Linked DNA regions of Elephas maximus indicus. The protein of the gene in region 2 interacts with the protein of the main gene of each other region in a biochemical or structural test. Links are inferred from orthologs where the notes say so. Each region holds a gene or a part of one and is shown on either strand. Other genes may lie near its edges.

Region 1 (7,428 bases), on a different chromosome or scaffold from region 2:
AGAACGTGTTATCTGATAGCGAGATGCTCCAAGAAGAAAAATAAGGCAGAGGAGTGAGATCAGAAGTAGAGATTTATAACAGCAAAAAACTTGGTACTTAGGAATAAGTCTAAGGCAAGAAACACAAGAGGAAAATTATTAAGCCGTTGAAAACCATTAAAGTTGAAGAGCTTAGGTTGGGTAGGGGTTTCACGGATATTAATTACTATGGTGTACGAACGGATGTTACCTGTATTTTCTTGTATTTATTATGTTATATAGATAAGATGGAAACCACAGTGGTGTAATGGTTAAGAGCTACAGCGGCTAATCAAAAGGTCAGCAGTTCAAATCCACCAGGCACTCCTTGGAAACCCTGTGGGGCAGTTCTACTCTGTCCTATAAGGCCGCTATGGCAACCGGTTTATAGATAAGATAGAGCCCTGGCAGCGCATGCGGTGGTTAAGAGCTCAGCTGCTAATCAAAAGGTCAGCAGTTCCAATCCACCAGCCACTCCTTGGAAACCCTAATGGCGCAGTTTTATTCTGTCCTATAGGGTGGCTATGAGTCAGAATTGACTCGATGACAATGAGTTTTTTTAAAATATAGATACACAAGATTATTATCTAAAAAAGGAAAGTTTTTTTTTTTTAACCTTTGACACAAATTAAGGAAAGCCTCACTGAGGCAATACTGGAGCAAAGACTTGAAGTGGGAATAAGTCATGTGAGCATGTGGGGCAAGGGCATTCCACAGAGAGGGAACAGCAAGTGCAAAGGCCCTGAGGTAGGGATGTGCTGTTGTGTTTATTGAACAGCAAGACGACCTGGGCCACAGTGAGGGGGTGGGAATAGGACAGGAAGTCGAAGCAGATCATGGAGGGACTTGGGGAGAACTTTGTTCTTACTAGGTTATTAGACCGAGTCCGGTGCACAACCACACACTCCAGGGAAGGGTGTATGTGAGATACACAGCCACTCCTGTAGGGAAAAGACCGTGGGGGATACACCCCATCCCAACAGAGGATACCATGATCTACCATCCTACAAGCGCGGTGTCCCCAGGGACCCTGTCACAGTGGCTGCACCACAAACTCTCTGAAGAAATAATCCAATGCCATGAATACACAAACAACCCTCTACCCAGCACTTAACCCGCTATCTGTCACCCCATCGCAGACTTTGCCCATCACAGGCTGACTCAGCCCTGCCCTCAGCCCAACACTATCAGAGGCAGTGTCGCTGGGCATAGATAAGGCCGAACACAGACGCTGCCGTGACTTCTCAGGTGCTGGTGTGTGTGCGTCTGCTCTGCCCACGAAGGCAGACACACCAACAACAACAGGGAGGGGGGCCCCCGCCAGCCGCCTCCCCATCACGCGCGCTGCAGACGTCAGGAACCAAGTTCACCAGTTTCACTGCCTTGTGACGGGGCCACAGGGGAACCACATCCAGACACTGGCCTACCATATTCTAATGCACACGCAATCTGTGACACCAACAAATAAGGCCACAGACGCATGTGAGCACTGTTCACACACCTGGTGATTACACACAAAACTGCCACAACCACACACACGCAGATGGGTGAGCTTACACACAAAGTTGTGTGTGCACAGCCCATCACACCCTCACACAGTTGAGGCCCCCATGTGGGGCACACACAGTTGTACATAGTTCTACAAGGCTGAGAGCACCTCTAGTCACACCAGAGGGCACACACCCGCGCCCAGGCATCTTCACGGAGTTACACACACCCTCAGCCACTCCAGATCCTGCCATGGCATACAGCTATACACAGATGTACAAGCAAAACTCCTGTCAGTCACACGTTGTCATGACTGCCACCTCAAAGCCAGATGCACATAGAGTTCCCACACCCACAGAGGGTTAAAATATGCACAATATGGTCAACCGCACAGGCATAGGCAGTTTGGCACACTTATTCACACACACAGTCACGTCTCATGCACCTTCCACCCTCGGTCTCACACAGCCGGTCATGCCGGGGCACACGCCTTCGCACCTGCAGCGCACACGCTGTTCACACTGCCGCGCGCGCGCGCGCGCGCGCACACACACACACAGGTCCCACGCTCCCTCTCCCCCACGCAGTCGCACACCCAGGCGCAGACAGCCAGCCCGTCCCCCAGGCACACTGGACTCACACCCAGTCAGTCCCGCCGGGCGCACACACGCCACAGGCACACACACGTGCTGCGAGTACGCGGCCCCCAGCTCGCCCGCCCGCCGGCCCGGCCGCCCGCCCGCGCGCTCACAACGGCTCTCACACCCCCGCGTTTCCCGTCCCCGCTTGTTTTTCTGGAAACTCTGCTCCCCGCTCCCCTCCCCCTAGGCCGGAAGTGTTTGCTGTATTTTTAGCCTCTCTGGTTTCCGCCCCTACCCCTCTCCCCTAGCCGCTCAGGACCTGCCCCCAGCGCCTTGGCGGGGGACCCCGGCCGTCCCCTTCCCCAACATCATTCCAAAGGGGATTCCCGGCCGCCGCCGCTGGGGCCGCGGATTTTCCCGCTGGCTACGTCGGGAGCGGGGAGGAGTCCAACGTGAACTTCCTCCTGGGCTGGGACGCCTGACCCCCGGGGGTGGGGGTGGGGGTGGGGGCGGGGGCTGGGAGCCCAGACTCCTGAGTCTGAGCCCGGAGGGGCCTGGGGGTCCGAATTCCTGGGTCTTGGGGAGGAGGGGGCTGGAGGCCCGAACTTCCAGGCTTGGGGGAGAAGGGGACAGGGGGCCGGGACTCCTGGGTCTGGGGGAGGAGGCTGCTTGAGAACCTGAACTCTTCTTTCGCGAGGAGGGGCTGAGATCCCGACCCCTGAGCCCCACAGGTCCGTGTTCGGGGTGCGGGGGGTCAGTCTGTCCGCCCGCAAGGTCCCCCCCTTAAGTCTTTTTGGCCCGGTCCCAAGCGTCCCGGCTCTCTGGCGGATGACTCAGCAGATGGGGGAAGGGAGGGAGGGTCAGCCTGACTCAGGGATGGGAAATGCTCCTTTTTTCCAGGGAATCGGAACGGGATTCCTACTCTAGGACCTCGGCCAGCGTCTAGCTGGGCCCCGGAGACCCCAGGGTGCCCCCACCCATGTTCTCCAGCCGTAGTCCTGTTAGCGGCACCGGGATTTGGAGTCCCCCTGGGAGGGGGCCCGAGGCACCACCACCCCATTTCCCGTTGTTTTGTAGGCTCTGTTTACAGAAGACAGAAGCCCTGGTTACAAGAGAGGAACCCGGGCGTCCGGCCCGAGCCTCCTCGTCACGGCTTCCAGGAAGCCCCCTCTCCCCCGCCCCTTGCAAGTGAGTCACGGGCAAGCGGGAGGCCGCAACCGTGCCAGAGCCGCCCGCGGCCGCTCAGTTCACGAGACCGGCCTGGGAAGGCCCCTGGGCCCCAGAATGCGCTGCACCAGGGATTCCCCCCGTGCTCCGAGGAGCAAATCGCCGCGGAGTCTGGCACAATCTCCCCACCTCAGTGCAAGCCCGCTGCCGCAGTCTGCAAGAATGAATTTTCCGTCATTATAACCCCTCAGTGACAATGGTTTCTTACCGCCTCACCCCTCTCCCTCTCCAGTTTGCGCCTAGGGCCCTACCCATTGCCTTCCAGTCGATTCTGACTGCCCCATAGAGTTTCCAAGGCTGTAATCTTTACAGAAGCAGACTGCCACATTTTTCTCCTGCTTGGCAGCTGGTGGCTTGGAACAGCCAACCTTTCTGTTAGCCCGCGAGTGCTTAACCAATGTTCCCAGGTCCACAACCCCCTTAAAGAACAAGCTTTCTTCCCATATCTTAAGAGAGTTTTCACTCAGGACATCCGCCTGACAATAAGAGACTTGCCAATGTGGGGAATGATCCTCAGCATAGTTGGAGTTCTTGAGGCCAACACCATGATAAACCTCATCCACACATCAGCTGGGGATGACTCATTTCTCCAATCTCAAAACCACTTTCAATCAAGGCAACCCTCCATCATAACAAAAGATCTCTTCCCCCTTTCTGTCTTCAGGATTTGCTCAGAGAGCAAACCTGTAAATATAACTTAAGGTACTGATATTTGGGCCGCTGCCGCTTAGTATAGCTGGGTAGCAAAGGGAGTAACTTTAACTCTGTGCCTCTCTTTTACACAAGTTTCCACTTGTGTAAAATGAGCATATTAATACCTGGTTGACTCATAGCAGTGATAAAGTGAAGGTATATAAAGTACTTAGAAGAGTGCCCAGCCCAGAAGTGACCTAGAATCGTCATCAGCTTCGCGAAGACGAGGGGCTACAGGGGCCCTGCTGAATTGAGAAAGGAGGCCCCTTTCCAGCCTGGCCAGGTAGCCGGGCCACCCACACAACCAACCCGCGAGTGGGGGCGGGAGGGCGGTCGGTCCAGGTCTCCGGATCTGTGTTGCTTGGAAGAGTGCCAAGGGCAGGTCTGGGAAGAGAACTCGCTTCCAGCCTACTGCGCCCATTTCCCCGTTTTGCCCCTTGGAGTTTCTGTCTCCCTCTTCGTGCGTTTATCACTGTTTTTCTCTGTCTCTTTGTACGAATCTCTCCATCCTGCTTCTCATTCTAAACTTCTCTCTGAGACTGTCTCTCATGATGTTTTCTGTCTCCCCACCTCCCCTCTCTCGGTGTGTTTCATCCTGTATATGTCTCTCTCTCCATGTCTGTCCCGCACTCACGCACGCACGCACACCCTCTCTTTTGTCTGTCTGTTCCCTTGTCAATTCCCCGTGGACCTCTGACCCGCCTCCGCCCCTGCTCCCTTCTTCGCGCCTCAGTCTCCAATCTTGAAAACTGGGCCGACACTCCGCACCCCACGCACCCCCCGACTGTGGGCCGGGCGGAAGGGGACTAGTCCAGGACTGGCGCGGCCCGCGCCGGGGGCGCGCGTCCGGGAAGCGCCCTCCTGATCCCGCCCCCCGCCCCGGCCCCGCCCCGATTAGCCCCACCCTCTGTCTATAAGAGGGTGGCCCTCCAGCCCCAACGCAGCCTCTGACTCCATCTCTTCTACTCTCGGCCGAGCCCTCAGCTGACCGGCCCCCAGCTCCGCCATGGATCTCACTGCTATCTACGAGGTGAGCCCCCGCAGCGGCCACCCCCTTTCAAACTAGCGCTCCTTAGCGCCGCAAACTCCGGCCCGGAGACCCTGGCTCCCTTCTCAAACTGAGGCTCCTTAGTGCCACCCACTCCGGCACGGGGTCCCTGCCTTTCTTCTCAGACCAGTGCGATTCTCTGGAGGCGAAAATGAAGCCCGGGACTCCCGGATCTCGTCCCCAATATGGGTGCGGTGACCCTGGAGATAGAAAGCCGGAGGATTTTTCTCCGACGAGGGCTGTCTAGAGGCGGAAACGGCCCCCGAACCTGGCTTACCCCTAGGAGTTGCTGAGGGCGCGCTTTTGCGCGTAGGCGGTTCAGGGGCAAGAGTCTGGAGGGGGAAGCCGACCTCTGTTCCTTGCCTGCCTCCCTCCCTGTCCAGGGGAAGGCTCTCAGAACTGAACCAAAGGGATCCGGACTCCGGGGTTAACTTTGACAGGATCTTCCAGTTATCATACTGGCGATCTAGGAGGCATGGGTCAGATCCGCGGAGTCCCAGAGGCTCAAAATTGGGGGACAGTGGTGTGCCCTGACTTTGGGGCCCCCTCTGTGCCCGGGATCGGAGAGCCCAAATTCCCGGGTGCCCCGGGGTAGGCTTCAGTCGTGGATAAACTCCAAGCCTCCAAATCGAGATTCCTGGAATCGCGAAACCCCGGGTTTCTGCGGGCGGGTGGGGCTCAAGTCAGAGCCCACAAACCCACAAACCGGGCGGGCAGGGCAGGCTCTTAAGGTGCCTTGCCCTGAAGCTGGGGCGGAGCGTCACCCTCCATTTTCGGTGTCTTAACCGCCCCCATTCCCACAGAGCCTCCTGTCGCTGAGTCCTGACCTGGCAGGGACAACCCGCGGAGGCACTGAGTCCAGCCTGGGATGGCCCTCCTCAGGACCCTGGAGCTCATCCGATTGCAGCCCTGCCGGCGTGGTCCCCCGCCTGCCCGGCCGCTCCACCAGCTTGGTGGAGGGCCGCGCCTGCGCCTGGGTGCCACCACCCCCAGGCTTCGCACCCCTGGCTCCACGCCCAGGCCCTGAGTTGTCACCCTCACCCACCTCGCCTACTGCAACCCCGGCCACCTCGTCCCGCTACAAGACTGAGCTGTGTCGGACCTTCTCTGAGAGCGGGCGCTGCCGCTACGGGGCTAAGTGTCAGTTTGCCCATGGCCTGAGTGAGCTGCGCCAGGCCAATCGCCACCCCAAGTACAAGACGGAACTCTGCCACAAGTTCTACCTCCAGGGCCGCTGCCCCTACGGCTCGCGCTGCCACTTCATCCACAACCCCAGCGAGGACTTGGCCACCCCTGGGCACCCCCACGTGTTGCGCCAGAGCGTCAGCTTCTCTGGCCTGCCCTCCGGCCGCCGGGCTTCACCACCACCAGCGGGCCTGCCGGGCCCTTCCCTGTCCTCCTGCTCCTTCTCGCCCTCCAGCTCCCCGCCACCACCGCCTGGGGACCTCCCACTCTCGCCCTCTGCTTTCTCTGCTGCCCCTGGGACCCCTGTGCCCCGAAGGGACCCCACCCCAACCTGTTGCCCCTCCTGTCGAAGAGCAACTCCCAGTCTCTGGGGACCCTTGGGTGGCCTGGCTCGGAGCCCCTCTGCACACTCCTTGGGATCCGACCCTGACGACTATGCCAGCAGCGGCAGCAGTCTGGGGGGCTCTGACTCACCTGTCTTCGAGACGGGGGTTTTTGGGCCACCCCAGCCGCCTGCAGCCCCCCGCCGACTCCCCATCTTCAATCGCATTTCCGTTTCTGAGTGACAAGTCCTCCCTAGTACAGATCAGCTGGATCACAGAGGGGGTCCATTTCTCATGCTGTGGACGCCACAAAGGGCCCTGGGGCTGTGGGGAACTGGGGGAGCCCTTGATCAAGTAGCCCCCTTCACCTTCCCAGATGCATTAACCCACTCTTCTGACCCTGCCCTGGGGCAGGTCCCCAGTGTGCCAGCTGGACAGTGTTTATGGTGTGGGAGATGGAGTGTTTGCTGGGTTCTTTAAAGACAAGATGTAGCATATTGGAGGGAGGCAGTGGGGTCCCCAGCTCTCCCCTGCCCAAATCGGTCTCTTAGAATCTCATGTGCTGTGAATAATAGGCCCCCACTGCCCCCTCCCAATTTTCCTAGACCTGAGGTCCCAACGCCTGGGGGTTAGTGGAGCCTCCCCTGAGAGGGAATCCTGGTGCTCAAATTTCTCTCCAAAAGCAAGCAGCCAAAGCCGTTGCCACCCCCCCGCCCAAGCCAATGGGTCTTTTATTTATGACGACTTTATTTATTCTAATAGATTTTATAGTATTTATATATATTGGGTCGTCTGCTCCCCTTGTATTTTTCTTTCTCCTTTTGTAATATTGGAAACAATGGAATAATTATTGTTATAAGTATAC
Region 2 (6,823 bases):
CTTCATACATTCCCAAAAGAGCAATCTCTCCTCCCCACCACATCTTCCTCCTTTGGTTTATAATCAAAAACTCCTGGTTTTGAAAAGCATTTCACTACTCAGCACCTAAGGTTAAGTTAATCAAAAGTCAAGATCTAGAAATCTCTTTGGTCTATGTCTCTGGAGCAGAATTCTTGGAACCAGACTGCCCCCACAGCTGTAATTACACCTTAACCAGTATTGGGATATGGAAGGGCTGTTGACACTGCTGTCACTCTCCTCATGCCTCATCCTCCTTTTTTCCTCTATTATTAAGCTTTTACGCAAAGATGTGTGGGAAATCTACAGTTTAACAGTTGAGTCAACTTGTAAGGTCTGGGAGCAGGTTGCCTGTCAAAACAGACTCTGACTTCAATCTTCACCCACTTCTAACTGAGAAAGATAAATTATGCTCATGAAAACCCACTAGACTCCGTGTGTCATTTAAACATTGTTATATTTTTCCTTTCAAAACTATTCAAAAGTGAAAAAGCCAACTCTCTTTCCCCGATTTTTACAAAAGAACCCGAACTGCCATCTAAAAGCAGACTAGAGGGTAGTTTTGTGTGTCTATTACACATACATGGAGCAGAAGTTGAGAGCTTTTGTTCTGAAGGTCTATACAACATTCTCTCCATCCAAGAGAATGAACAGCCAGTGTCCCCAAACTGCGGATGGGTGACAGCAGATGGCGTCTCAGAGGGGATAGAAAACTCTCCTGGAAAGCATGTCTGTCACTTCCTCAAGGGTACAGGTTAACTGTGGTCAAACTGTATTCACTCAACTCTGTTCCTCAAGGTCAGAGCCACAGACAAGACAAACATTCCCTCTCCCTTTCCCGGTTCCAAGTATGGAAAGAAGGGTCTAAGGCACAGACACCAACACTTCCGAGACACACATCTACTCCCTCTACAACACCCAGCATGAGAAAACCATCAAGAGCCCACAGCAACGGCTAATCATAAAAACCAAAGAAATCTGAAAGAGTTCAGGCTAGCGGAAAGCTCTCCCCAAAAGAGAGGATGGAAGCAACAAGAAAACCATTTCAGAGACCTTAAAATCTGGGAATTGCTCATGCTTGCCCTCTACAGCCCCAAAGTGCCAGGTTTTTATTATATCTGATTATATATTCCAACAGTCTGCCCATAACTCATATCTGAGTTTTGTATTTAACAGCTGAAATACTGCCAGCTGTGCGGGTGGAGGGGAAAGAGAAAAATATAACACAGGAAGTATTTTCTCCTCCTCCAATCATTAACACGGCCCAGGGGAAATAGACCTGGTGTGTCACCTTTAGAGATGTGGTTTGACCTGAAACCCCTCTGAGGGAGAACACCTACTTTTTGGTGACCCTTGAACGACTGGCTCACACTGTCTGGGGACCCACCCCAACTCATCAGACCTCCAAGTCCATTCTATTTACCTTCCGAAGTGTTCTCCCCTACCACGCCCCCTCAAAAAATAAAAAAAAAATGAAAGGCTGGGTTTCCCCAGCCCAAGGCTGACGCTCGCTCCTACTGTCCATCTCCACGGCTAAAGAGGCCACCTCCGAGTCGCGGAATCAGCACGGAGCCAAGCCCAGGTTTACAGATTCGGTTTAGGAAGATCGATGGAGCCATGGAAACAGCAGACACCCGCCGGAGCCTGCTGGCCTCCCATCTGGAGCCGCACAAGCACCGGAGGTAGGAGGGGGCCTGCTCTAGGATCAAAACAATCCCTCCCCCGCGCCGGGGGACGGTATCCCCGCGGAATCTCCAGCCTTGCCCCGGCGGGCCAGCGCGCCCCGAGGCGGCACGGCCGCGCTCGCGAGGCCCAGGGAAGTGAAATCACACATTCCGGCTCCCAAATAAGGAGCGAGGCTAAATAAACCTCAGAGATCCGACTTCTCCAAACCAACCGACCAACCAGCTCAATGAGTAATGGGCCTTCTGTGCCCGCAGAAAGACAGAAAGGAGGGAGGAGAGGATGGGGAGCCACGGCCTCCGAAAATCACTTCCTAGAGACGGGGTTAAGCACAATTGGTCCCAAAGCCAACCGTCCCGATTCGGCAGGATCCCGCTCAAACCCCAAAATGGCAGAGTCCGCACGAGTCGTCTCGAGTCCCCGCCACTCGCGCCCCGAGGTGACCGGAAGCCCGGCTGGGCCGGCAGCGGGTCAGATCCGACCTGACCTTCCCGGCTCGGCTCCCCGGAGCCGCGCACTTGGCACCACTCGGGCACCCCGGCCGCCCCGCTGCGGCCACTCACCCCGCCGGCGCCGGACGCCCCCGAAGGGTCAGCAGATGAAGTGAAGGCGACTCCTCGCCCCCGCCGCCCGGAGAGCAGGGGGTCGTCCCGGGAGCGCCCCTTCTCCCTCCCCTCCCCCCGGCCCTAAACCTACTTTTAGGGCGAATTTCTCCTGGGTCCGCTTGTTGAAGATCTGCAAAACTTTCCCGTTGATCCCCAGCCCCAGGACCTGGGTGGTGACCTTGTAGTCGTCGGTGATGGCGTTCTTCTTGATCTGCAGGCTCGACTTGACGTGGAACTGCGGGAACTGCGGCGGGGGCTGCAGCGGCGGCTGGGCCGGGGGGTGCGGCGGAGCCGGGGCGGGGGGCTGCGGCGGCGGCGGCGGGGCGGGGAACAGCACCGGAGGAGTCTGGCCTTGGGAGTTGGACAGCATGGTGCCCGGAGACGCGGGCGCAGGGGCCGGAGGGCCCGCGGCCGCCCCCTCCTCCGGCTCCGGACCGGGTCCCCGCCACCCCCCGCCCGGCTGGAAAGTTTGCTCCGGGCTGGAGCCGGCTTCCCCGCCCCGGCTCGGCTCCAGGCTCGGCGGGTCGCGGGGCTCCGTGGGTCCCGCCGTCCGCCGCTGGCGCCCACCGGCCCTCGTCCCTCCCCCCGGGGGCCTGGCGCTCGGTGGAACGCGGGACGGCGGGGGCCGGCCGGGGGGAAGCGGCCGCGCGACAATGTACCCAGCCCGGGCCGGCGGCCGCGTCACAGCCTCGTCTGCGTCCGGGGCTGGCCCTTAAAGGGGAGGGCCGGGGGCGGGGCTTGGGGAGACGAGGCGGAGCCGGGAAGCGTGGGTGTCTTAAAGGGGAGGACGCGAGGCGCCTGCAGCGTGGTGGGCCGCGCCAGTGGCTGGGAGGCGCGAGACGAAAAGGGGAGATTTTAGTTCTTCCCCGGTACCACACAAAGGGAAAGGGGTGGTGGAGGAAAGCAGCTACATAATTCAGATGGAAAATCCACTTTTCTCCAACCGTCTGGGTCTTTTAGAACAGCAGCAGCGAATTGGAGGAGGGGGTATGTTTTGAAGGAGAAGGGATGGCAAGTGTGAGCTTGATAGGCGCTCAGGAGTTTGTTGAAATCACTGGGGCCGTTCATCCTAGAAACACGTGTGATACTAATATTAGATATTTACTTAATTGAACAGTTCCCTCGTTTACCTATGAGTTTTGGATTTATTTCCTCATACATGTATTGTTTTTCATATGAATTTAAAAGGATGCGGGATGGGAAGAGGATGGGTCGAGATCCAGATCACCTGAAATCAGGTGAGCCTTTACAATTGCCTGGCTGCATGATCAGAGAAAGACAGACTTTGCCCCTCTCTCTCGGTGGAAAGAGTAGTGACGCCTTTCTCATGGGCTTGTGGAGAGTATCAGGTAAGATCATGGAGAAAAGGGAGAGTCTGGGGAATAGGTTCTGATTTCCAACGTGGAAAATGTTTTTCCTGAACCTACAGGCATAAGAAGAAGCAGGCGTTTCTGAACAAGCCTAGTTCTGGCCCAGGGTAGCCCCATGTATCTGAAGAAGATGCCAGCGAGCTAGGGGGTCCCATAGCATAGCCTGGATCAGGGCAATGAGTGGGAGGCCCTGAATATAAGCTGCCAGGAGGCCTGGGCATGCATTCTGGTGGGGCCTGGGCATGACTATCAAATGCATCCCTGCTGACCTCCTCCCCTCTCCGACTAGTAGGGCAGTTGAGAAGTAAGACACAAAACCTCAGCTTAATTACTCGTGGGCCAAATTAGAGAATGTGGCTTGACCTATGGCCACCATCGCCCCTATTATGTCCCTCCACAAGTCCAGAGCCCCCTGTCAGGGGAAACTCAGCTTAGGGAGAAGCAGAGAACTTCCTGAGGACCAGGCTTTTGAGGAGGGAGCCCAGGAGAGGAAGGCACAAGTACCAGTGACTCCTCCCTCCCTCACCTTTCCCAGAAGACATTTCTCCCGCTGGGAGGCCAGAGTGAGGGGGTGGAGGGAAGGGCAGGAGTCGCTGTCTGGCTCTGTCCCTCCTGAGACAGGAGGGCTTGCTCTACAAACCAAGGAGCACATTCATTCTTTTTAAGGAGCACTTATTTAGTGCTGACTGTGTACATGGTACCATGCAGTGATGGATGGTGTTAACAATTTTGAGGGTAAGGAGACACAGACATGTACTAGATATCTTTAGAGAGGCACAGACCCAGCCCCGGGAGCTGAAGGAGTAGCGATCCTCTGTCTGGGGTAGCAGGGAGCTTCCTCCTGTGCTGTAAGGACGGGTAGGGTTAGACACCTCCCCTGAGCTCCCTGACTCTTCAAAGACAAAGAGGCTACCCAAAACCACAGGGGTTGGAAAACACCTCCACCTCCCCAGTTCTAATGTATTGCTATCACCTGAGGCAGGCTTGGGAGATCCCCCAAAGAATTAGGGTCACAAGGATGGGGGGAGAAAGGCTCCGTCTGATCAATTTCTTTCTCAGGTAGAGGGGTCACTGGTCTGGGGCTGTTCAGGGCTCCGGGTTGGCCTTTTTCTCTCTGCAGAGGAGTAGGGGACAGGGCTTCCCCTTGCTTGGCATTGCACTTGACTGGCTTCTCTCACAAGGCTAGGAAGAGTATAGCTCCTGGTGCTCTTTCAGAGGCAGCAAGGCATAGTGGAAAGAGAATAGAAATCAGAGACAAATGACCCGAATTCACGCCTGTCCTCCAGCTGAGTTATCTTGAACAAGCCATTTAATGTCTCTTTATGTCTAGAAAATGAAGAAAATAATAAAATCTGCTTTCAGGGTTGAGTGAGAATCCACTGAGATAGTGCACATGAGAACCCTTCATAAACTGTAAACTAAATTATCATGAAGTGTTAAATATTATCATTATTTGTATATTGCTGGCCTTGCTCCCCTGTGCTGAGCCCACTGCCTAAGGGTCTGTCCCTGATATCAAAGCCGCCTTCCTATCTAGCTGGGGCTCTGGGGAGATGCTAAAGCCTGATGACCTAGGAATAACATGACAACTGGAATCCTCATGGAGTTGAGAAGTAAGGCAGATTAGCCCTAGAGCGGCATGCAGGACTCTAAGGACACATAGACAGTGCACAGAGATTACATATACTACACACGCAGCCCCAGAAAACACACACATGTATGTGCCTACCTGAAAACCAAAACTAGATCCATTGACCTCAAGTCAATATCAGCTCATGGCAATCCTAGTGTTACAGAATAAAACTGCTCCGTAGAGTTTTCTTAGCTGTAATTGTTACTGAAACAGATTACAGCAGTACTGCTGGGTGGGTTCAAACTACCAACCTTTAGATTAGTAGTCAAATCCAGATGATTTGCACCACCCAGGGACATTTAACAAAAAAAAATGCCTAAATGGATGAATAACTGAGGAGCGAGCTGGGCTAAAGGAAGAAGCACTAGGCAAGGGAACCAGAGTCCATTGTGGTATTAACTAGCTATATGACCTCAAGAACATACCTTACCCTCTTAGTTCCCTCTTCTCATCTGTAAAATAGTGATAATAACATCTGCCCTGCCTACCTTGGAGGGTATCTTAGTCATCTAGGACTGCTATAACAGAAATACCACAAGTGGATGGCTTTAACAAAAGATGCTTATTCTCTCACAGTCCAGTAGGCTAGAAGTCAAAATTCAGGGCACTGGCTCCAGAGGAAGGCTTTCTGTCTCTGTAGGCTCTTGGAAGGTCCTTGTCATCAGTCTTCCCTTGGTCTGGGAGCATCTCATCACAGGAACCTCAGGTCCAAAGGATGCGTTCTGCTACCGGAGCTGCTGTCTTGGTGGTATGAGGTCCCTGTGTCTCTCTGCTTGCTTTTCTCTTTTATATCTCAAAAGAGATTGGCTTAAAACACTAATCTTGTAGATCTCATCAGTATAACTGCCACTAATCCTGGTGGCGTAGTGGTTAAGTGCTATGGCTGCTAACCAAAAGGTCAGCAGTTTGAATCCGCCAGGCGCTCCTTGGAAACTCTATGGGCAGTTCTACTCTGTCCTACAGGGTCTCTATGAGTTGGAATCGACTTGACGGCAGTGGGTTTGGTTTGGTTTGGTTTGGTTTGGTTTAATCCATCTTATTAACATCATAGCGTTAGGATTTACAACACATAGGAAAATCACATCAGATGACAAAATGGTAAACAGTCATACAATACTGGGAAGTATGACCTAACCAAGTTGACAGATACTTTTGGGGGACACAGTTCAACCCATGACAGAGGGTTATTGTAAGGATAAAATAAAATAGTTTCCCATAGGGCACAAAGAAGTCCAAAGTCCTACTTATATAATAGCAAGCTTTCAGCTGCCTGTAATGAGCTACTTAATAAACAGTTTTTATGGATTTATAAAAACTTCAAGGGTTAAAAGTCTATGCCAATAGAAAGTACTGTTTTTATCTACAGTTGACAAGCAAACAGACGCTGTGCAAGATAGTACACAGACAATGTAAGCAGCTCAGGTACACAGAATGGATTACTTATAATCATTGATTCATGACGTCGCCTCATCACTGGATCGGTGGCCCTTGTGCCTCCACTTTTATGTAGTTAC

The links. The genes of interacting proteins can lie anywhere in the genome.
Region 1: of the proteins of MAPKAPK2 (region 2) and ZFP36, one has a biochemical effect on the other in vitro, tested with the Homo sapiens proteins (2 studies listed by BioGRID). The link is inferred for Elephas maximus indicus from reciprocal best matches to the Homo sapiens genes MAPKAPK2 and ZFP36.

The regions. Positions count from the first base shown.
Region 1 is NC_064829.1:112,055,017-112,062,444, reverse strand, and holds ZFP36 (mRNA decay activator protein ZFP36), read left to right. Parts: upstream 1-4,939; 5' UTR 4,940-5,013; coding exon 5,014-5,037; intron 5,038-5,858; coding exon 5,859-6,806; 3' UTR 6,807-6,911; downstream 6,912-7,428. UniProt on the Homo sapiens protein: Zinc-finger RNA-binding protein that destabilizes several cytoplasmic AU-rich element (ARE)-containing mRNA transcripts by promoting their poly(A) tail removal or deadenylation, and hence provide a mechanism for attenuating protein synthesis.
Region 2 is NC_064836.1:16,408,355-16,415,177, reverse strand, and holds the start of MAPKAPK2 (MAP kinase-activated protein kinase 2), read right to left. Parts: upstream 3,006-6,823; 5' UTR 2,677-3,005; coding exon 2,398-2,676; intron 1-2,397. UniProt on the Homo sapiens protein: Stress-activated serine/threonine-protein kinase involved in cytokine production, endocytosis, reorganization of the cytoskeleton, cell migration, cell cycle control, chromatin remodeling, DNA damage response and transcriptional regulation.